Macaca mulatta: one gene and its partner. The protein of the gene in region 2 interacts with the protein of the main gene of each other region in a biochemical or structural test. Links are inferred from orthologs where the notes say so. Each region holds a gene or a part of one and is shown on either strand. Other genes may lie near its edges.

Region 1 (3,974 bases), on a different chromosome or scaffold from region 2:
GGAGCTGGTGTTTAACAGAGGGAGTTTCAGTTTGGGAAGATAAAAGTTCTGGAGATGGGTGGTGATGGTGGCAGCTTCCCAACAATGTGAATTTACTGAATGCCACTGAACTGTACAATTATGCTTTGTGGTCCAGCCAGGAGTGCAGCAGCATAATCACGGCCCACTGCAGCCTCAATCTCCTGGGTTCAAGCAATCGCTACCTCAGCCTCCTGAGTAGCTAAGACCACAGGCACATGCCTGGCTAACTTTTTTCTTTTGTAAAGACAGGGTCTCACTATGATGCCCAGGCTAGTCTCATCCATCTGCCTCAGCCTCCCAAAGTGCTGGGATTACAGATGGGAACCACCATACCCAGTGTAAATGGTGAATTTTATGCTACGCCTATTACACATTAAAAATTAATATAACAATTTCAAAAGTTTTTTCAACAGCTACTGACACTTTACTATCTCTAGGGGACTGTGACCCCTACCTTTAAAGCTGCATCATCTAAAATCCAGGTTCCCAATTTTTTGTGAGAGACAGTCTCGCTCTGTCACCCAGGATGGAGTGCAGTGGGACGATCTCAGCTCACTGCAACCTCCACCTCCCAGGTCCAACTGATTCTCCTGCCTCAGCCTCCTGAGTAGCTGGGACTGCAGGCGTGTGCCACCATGACCGGTTAATTTTTAAATTTTTGGTAGAAATGGGGTTTTGCCATGTTGCCCAGATTGGTCTTGAACTCTTGGTTCAAACGATCTGCCCGCTTTGGCCTCCCAAAGTGCTGGAATTATAGGCATGAGCCATCACGCCTGGACCACCACCCTTTTTAAACACAAGCAAAGGGTGGTGTCATGTTTAACTTGCTCAGAAGGGTAAGTTATCTACTGGTAGAGTTGGGCTTTGAACTAGGCAGCGACCCCATATGGCCTGAAATAAAACTAACCTGATAACCTCATCTCTTTATACAAAACACTGGCAAACAGACATCATTCCCACCAGATGCTATTTGTTCCCACAGGTGGTCACCACCTCAAAGGTGACAGCCTGTTTTGGGTAATGGGGACACAAATATGACCCCCATCCCTGCCTACCCCCAACTCACTGAAAGGCTCTCCCTGTACACCAACCACCATCTGGCACCATCACTGGGGCACGGAGCATTAGCTGGTGTCTTCGCCCACCTTAACAGGCCTGTCCCATGCAACCCCACTTCCACATGTGACCTGATTCTCTTTCATACAGCTGAAAAAATATGACTCTGGGTTAAAGTAACAACATAACTCAAGACCTATGAAACACAAAAACACAAGCCCCCAAATCTTCAAGTATCACAAAGGGATAACACAACTACCTCTCTCACACTTGGTGTAAAACTGTAAGTGGGTAGCAGAGATTGGCACCTATCCATCGAAAATCTGCTGTTCAAGGATTTTCATGAATCACCTTCTTTCCCCTGTATGTACAAGCTGGGAGACAGCCTCACCACAGTCCAACTCAACCTTTGTGACTTTACAATGGTGGGAATGCGATGTGCATTCAGTAGAAGCCCTGCTTCAAACTTTGATCTTGGCTGGGCGCAGTGGCTCACGCCTGTAAGCCCAGCACTCTGGGAGGTGGAGGCAGGTGGATCACCTGAGGTTAGGAGTTCGAGACCAGCCTGGCCAACGTGGTTAAACACCGTCACTACTAAAAACACAAAAAATTAGCTAGGCGCGGTGGCGCGTGCCTGTAATCCCAGCTACACTGAGGCAGGGGAATCGCTTGAACGTGGGAGGCGGCAACTGCAGTGAGCCAAGATCGCACCACTGCAATCCAGCCTGGGCCACAGAGCCATACTGTCTCAAAAAAAAAAAAAGAAAAAAATTTTTTTAAAAAATCTTTTTCTGGGCTAGATAAGTATGACACTTTCTGACACTGGCCATCGACCACAGGATCACGATATAAACGACTATATTGCACAGTGTGCCGTGCTCAACACATTACATGCAAGTATCCAGCACTTCATTACAAAATGGGTTTTGTGTTAAGATTTTGCACAACTGCAGAAATTTGATGTATTATACAAAAGAAAACTGAACTCTGGGCAGCCTCTGAGATGCTCGCGATTAGCTAAGATGGTTCTAGAATTCCAGGGCCTCAACGTGCCCCACACAGGTCTTTCTCATGGGAAATACGATGTAACCACTGGTCCCAGAGGGCCAGGCACACGCCCAGACAGCCTAACCCGCCTCCTGCCAGCCATTCCGGGGAAGACGCTACCGGAGCGGTGGCAGGGTAGGCACCGGTCATCTTGAACCTTCGGAGCAACCACTTACATTTGGCATCCTTTCGTCGGGCTGTGAGCAGAAAGTCCTTGATTTCCTCAATTTTCCGAGGCTGCAACACAAAGGAAGCGGGTAAACAGACAGCAAAGAGACACGTCTTCCGGTGACGGTCCAGTCCACCAGCTCCTCCCGGCCTCCGGAGGCCCTGGGGAGGCTCTCTCGCCCTCGCCCCGGATCCCACGAACCCACACCGGGAAGGCGCCAGGCAGGGACCGTACTCACCATGGCGACAAGGCGCGCAGGGAGCTGGCGCGGACCGGGACCTGCAGGAAACAGTCCTTGGCGTTAACACGGCGCGGGGGATGGCAGTCAACCCCGCTTTCCCGCCCTCCCCCGAAATATCGCCCCCATCGCACTCCCTTTTCCTCCCCGACACCCTCCACGTGGACCTGGGGTCCCCAGATTTCACCTGGCCGTGGATTGCCCCAGATTACCCTTCTCACCCGCGTACCACTCTAGAGACACTCACAGCCAGCAGCGACCTAGTAAAAGAACGAAAAAGAACGAGACTTCCGTTTCCGGGCAGTTAAACCCTCCCAACGGAGGAAACTGGATACGGTGCCTGCCGAGGGTCAAGACTCATGTAGGCGTTGGCACTTCCAATTTCAGCAGCCCTGCCCCCTCGTGGTCGAGGTCAACAGTGCAGCTCCAAGAATGGAAGGGACCATCCTGGCTGCCGCCCTCCCTCCGACTCCCTCCTCCCACTGCTCCCCATCTCTTCCTTCTATGACCCCCGCCTCTTCCCCATCCACACTTCCTGTCTTCCCTCGCAACCTCCCAACCCTAGCCTGGCTTTGCTGGGTTTTAGTTCAGATTCAGTTCGAAGAGCTAACGCTTATTCTCCACGGCTTTCACTGGACCTGTGCACGGGACATCTGCACAGAGAATTCTTCATTTAATGGCAGAGACCGTCGTGTGCACCTTGTAGAACCTCTTGTTCTGGCGCCTCACGTTTTCTTCTTCCAGTCTCCTTTTTGGGACCTGAACCTGTCATGACCAGGGCCCTGGGATCTTCTTTCCGTAAGAGGGAGCGTTCCTGCCTGCTGCTTCCAGTTCCTTTAGGAATTGGTGTACAATGAAAGCAAGTTAAGGCCGGGCGCGGTGGCTCACGCCTATAACCCCAGCATTAGGGGAGGCCGAGGCCGGTGGATCGCTTGAGGCCAGGAGTTCGAGACCAGCCTGGGCAACCTAGTAAGGCCCCCCCCCACACCCATCTCTAGCAAAAATAATAATAATACTTCCAACAGCTGTGGCAGGGCTGCCCCTGGCTAAGTGTCTCACCTCTAGGGCTGATGGTGCAGCAGTGGGAGTTCTCCTGCTGTTGCCAGCTCTCACCACCACCCCAGAGGGGAGAGGTGGACTCAGGACTTGAACCCCTGCTGGGCAGATTCCCCAGTCCAGGCACCAGCCACTTCTTGGGGAGGCTTGGGCAGTTTGGGGAGGGCAGCCTTCCTTTCTCCCCCATAACATCCTTCAGGTTAGGCTCTTAGCAACGTGTGGTTATCGATTTTATTTTTATCCTCCACTTTTATTTTATTTCCAACCTCTCTACAAATGTCTACATTTTATTATATTTGTTTCCCCCAAATTTAATAACCACATGGCAGAATGTAATTGCTTCGTGCTTATTATTACAGAGCAGCCCTCCTGAAGAGAAAGAGCACT
Region 2 (3,511 bases):
TGTGCCTCAGCCTCCCAAGTGCTGGGATTACAGGTGTGTGACACCACGCCCAGCTAATTTTTGTATTTTTAGTGCAGACAGGGTTTCGCCATATTGGCCTGGCTGGTCTTAAACTCCTAGCCTCAAGTGCTCTGCCTGCCTTAGCCTCCCAAAGTGCTGGGATTACAGGTGAAGTATTACTAGCAATATTCTTAAAAACTCAGAAGCTACAGTTAGATTTGTTACATGTTATAAAAATTGAATGACAAATTAAGAGAGAGTAAAAAAGAGAAAGAAAAGAGTGTGGTGAATGAACAGGGGAAAATCAGGTAGAACAAGAAATAGGAAAGGGGAAGAAAAAAAAGGCAAACCATTTGGGAATGTTTACAAATCAGATTTTTTAAATCTGAACAATTATTGTCTATAAGTAGATATATATACCTATGTATAAATACATATATCATATATACACAAAAATGAAACAAACCAAATAATTGTAAGACACAATATAAGGAAATAGGATTTTTTAAAAAAAGAATAACAGGAGGACAATCAGAGACCTTCAGAGAATATGAGATTGAAGCTAAGGCTGGAAATATGAAGATAGCTATGAGAAGGTCGGGGGAAAAGGCTGAGATGAAAAGGTACCGGGAGAAGGAAAAGAACTGGAACGACTAGAAGCAGAAGCTTAGCATTTTGAAGAACTGAAAAGAGACCAGTATGACTGAATCTCAAGAAGCAAAGAGAGAAGGTGATTAGTGCTGATGTAGGAGGTAGGCCTGTGCTAAATTATGATGGTCCTTGCAGGTCATGGTAAAAAAAAAAAAAAAAACACAAGGTCTTTATAAAGTGTAAACAGAAGTGACACAATCAAGTCTATTTTTAAGATCACTCTGAGGGGTTGAGAATAAATTGGAAGGGAGACAGGAGTGGAAGCAGTAAAAACATTCCATATCAATCATTCCCAAATGACTGAGTTTCCATCCATTTCTTTCCTCTCCCATTCCTACTTCATATCCCAGTCATTTAGCCCCCTCCCGCACCTTTGCACCAGATTTTACCAAACAACAACAAAGAATTGGGAAAAGGAAAACTGCAGCTTTTTTGACTCCATGTACATTGGGTATTTTATTAGAAACTTTCATGTTACTGCTATGTAAACACAGCTTCTAAATAATACATAATTTAAAAACTTGTCAAGCAAGTTCTTCATCAGCTGTACTCCTAGAATTAAACACACATCACACACATACAAGTCACCAACCCCCACAAAATGTTTAATTTAACTGACCTTAAAATTTGGAGAAAAGTATCGGTTGGCTTTGTCTTTATTTGCTTTGTCAAGATCATTTTTTGTTAAAGTAAGTACTAGATATTCCTTGTCATTATCTGCACGCTCTATACTGCAAATGCTATCAATTTCTTGATCACATAGACTTCCATTTTCTACTTTTTCTGAGGTTTCCTCTGGTCCTGGTATGAAGAATGTATTTACCCAAAAGTGAAACATTTTGTCCTAAAAAAAAAAAAAAAAAAAAAAGAAAAAGAAATGAAATGACATATTTTAATTAATGATGTTTTATTTTTTTAAAAAAGAAAATATGTCACCTGCGTTAAACATTTGCCAAAATGTCAACAAAATAAACTATCATTTGATATTTTGAATAAAGGTAAACACAAAGACTATTATAAGGCAATCTGAGTTATCTGTTGCATTTTCATTCACATGATTTTTCGGCACTCAAATTTTAAACCAAAACTACAATCTCACAAGATCTAAGATAAATTACTTTTGTCTTAAATTTTTAAGTAAAAAAACCTCTTTTCTAGTCTAATACTAGCTTTAAATATGTTTTTAGTTTATGTGTACATACATATAAAAACAAAATTCAGAGATGGACTTAATTTCTTCTACTTTTCAAATGAGCTACCTATTCCAAGATTTACTTTAACAAAAGTTCTTAGAAGGAGAGTGCAACTTCCCTGATGACACACCACAAATACATGTTTACTTCTACAGCAATACAAACATGAGAAGCTCTACTTTCTTACATGACAATATAATGCTTCAATACTTTCAGAATAAATATGAGGGGATAGGGAAGAGTACTACTGATTTCTTTTGATGTTATAAAATGCCTGTTCTTAAAAAAATCACTTCTAATAAGATAATACTTTCTTAATAAAAAACCACAACAGAAGTTCATCACTTTAAACCTCTATTGACCAACACAGAAATCTGGCCTGCATAAATAATTTGGCAATTAATGATGTACAGCCTTGTGTCATCTTATTGGTACCTTAAAATGCCATTTAAATCTTTTATTCTAATTTACCTTAAAAGTTTTTTTCCCCCTAGAAAATAAGATCTTTAAGGATATTATGTCTTAAATTTTATTGCATCTTTTAGCAGTACCTGACAAAGTAACTTTGTTTACAAGTCTTTAAATTTTTTTTTGCTTATTTCAATTATTTCAGCCAGTAACTGTATTTTACTTAGAATTAGAAGAAAATAAGCTAATAATATTTAAATAACAAAAAGGTGAATTCCATATATATATATGGATTATACTAAAACTTTTTGTCTGTTTTAATCACAGCATATTCTTAAATAAGGCAGGGAAAATCAATAAAATGGAAATTTGTGTAGTCAAGGATAAACAAGTAAATCATAAGATATTAACCTTCAATTTTGCATGTGTTAAAGTGCAGATGAAGGGAAATAAGAATTAGTAAATTCCTAAAGGTATGCAGAGATGATGATGTAGGTGCCTATTTTTGAAAGCAAAATAAAAATTACTAGTTATCTTAATTTTAAAACAGTTGTTAATACTTCCTGGATTATCAAAAAATAATTTTTCAAAGTTATTGAGATATATTTAACTTTTACTTGTACAGATGATAGGAAATGGGTTTCTGGTTTAAAAAAAGATGTTCAGTACATTTTGATTTTTTTTTCCAGCTACTTGGATTCTGGATAAAGGAAATTATATTTCTTCTGATACGTCAAAGCAGCATTTAAAATTGTGCAGTAAATGAAACTTCCTCTTATTTTCTTTCAAAAGAAAAGCTAAAAATCAGAACAACTAAATATATCCTATTATTGAGAATGTTTAAAGATTAGCAATATGCTATCTAGTATGTTTAACAAGGCAGCAACAATACAAATTTACTGCTTTTCTTCATTACTATCTAAAAATGTTGCACCTTAGTCTCACTTTAAATATACACATTTAATATTTTAAATGAAGACAGTTGGTTTTTGGTTTTTTTTTTTCCTTTTTCTTTGAGACAGAGTTTCACTCTTGTTGCCCAGGCTGGAGTGCAACAGTGCATTCTTGGCTCATGCAACCTCCACCTCTTGGGTTCAAGCAATTCTCCCGCCTCAATCCTCCTGAGTAGCTGGGATAACAGGCACCTGCCACCATACCCGGCTAATTTTTTTGTATTTTTAGTAGAGACGGGGTTTTACTATGTTGACCAGGCTGGTCTCGAACACCTGACCTCAGGTGATCTGCCTGCCTCAGCCTCC

What was found. The genes of interacting proteins can lie anywhere in the genome.
Region 1: the proteins of PTEN (region 2) and RPL38 form a complex in vitro, tested with the Homo sapiens proteins (2 studies listed by BioGRID). The link is inferred for Macaca mulatta from reciprocal best matches to the Homo sapiens genes PTEN and RPL38.

What each region holds. Positions count from the first base shown.
Region 1 is NC_133421.1:83,872,144-83,876,117, reverse strand, and holds the start of RPL38 (large ribosomal subunit protein eL38), read right to left. Parts: upstream 2,812-3,974; 5' UTR 2,744-2,811; exon of another isoform or gene 2,719-2,743; intron 2,573-2,718; 5' UTR 2,535-2,572; coding exon 2,532-2,534; intron 2,362-2,531; coding exon 2,301-2,361; intron 1,245-2,300; exon of another isoform or gene 339-1,244; intron 1-338.
Region 2 is NC_133414.1:100,034,662-100,038,172, reverse strand, and holds part of PTEN (phosphatidylinositol 3,4,5-trisphosphate 3-phosphatase and dual-specificity protein phosphatase PTEN), read right to left. Parts: intron 1,496-3,511; coding exon 1,271-1,495; intron 1-1,270. UniProt on the Homo sapiens protein: Dual-specificity protein phosphatase, dephosphorylating tyrosine-, serine- and threonine-phosphorylated proteins.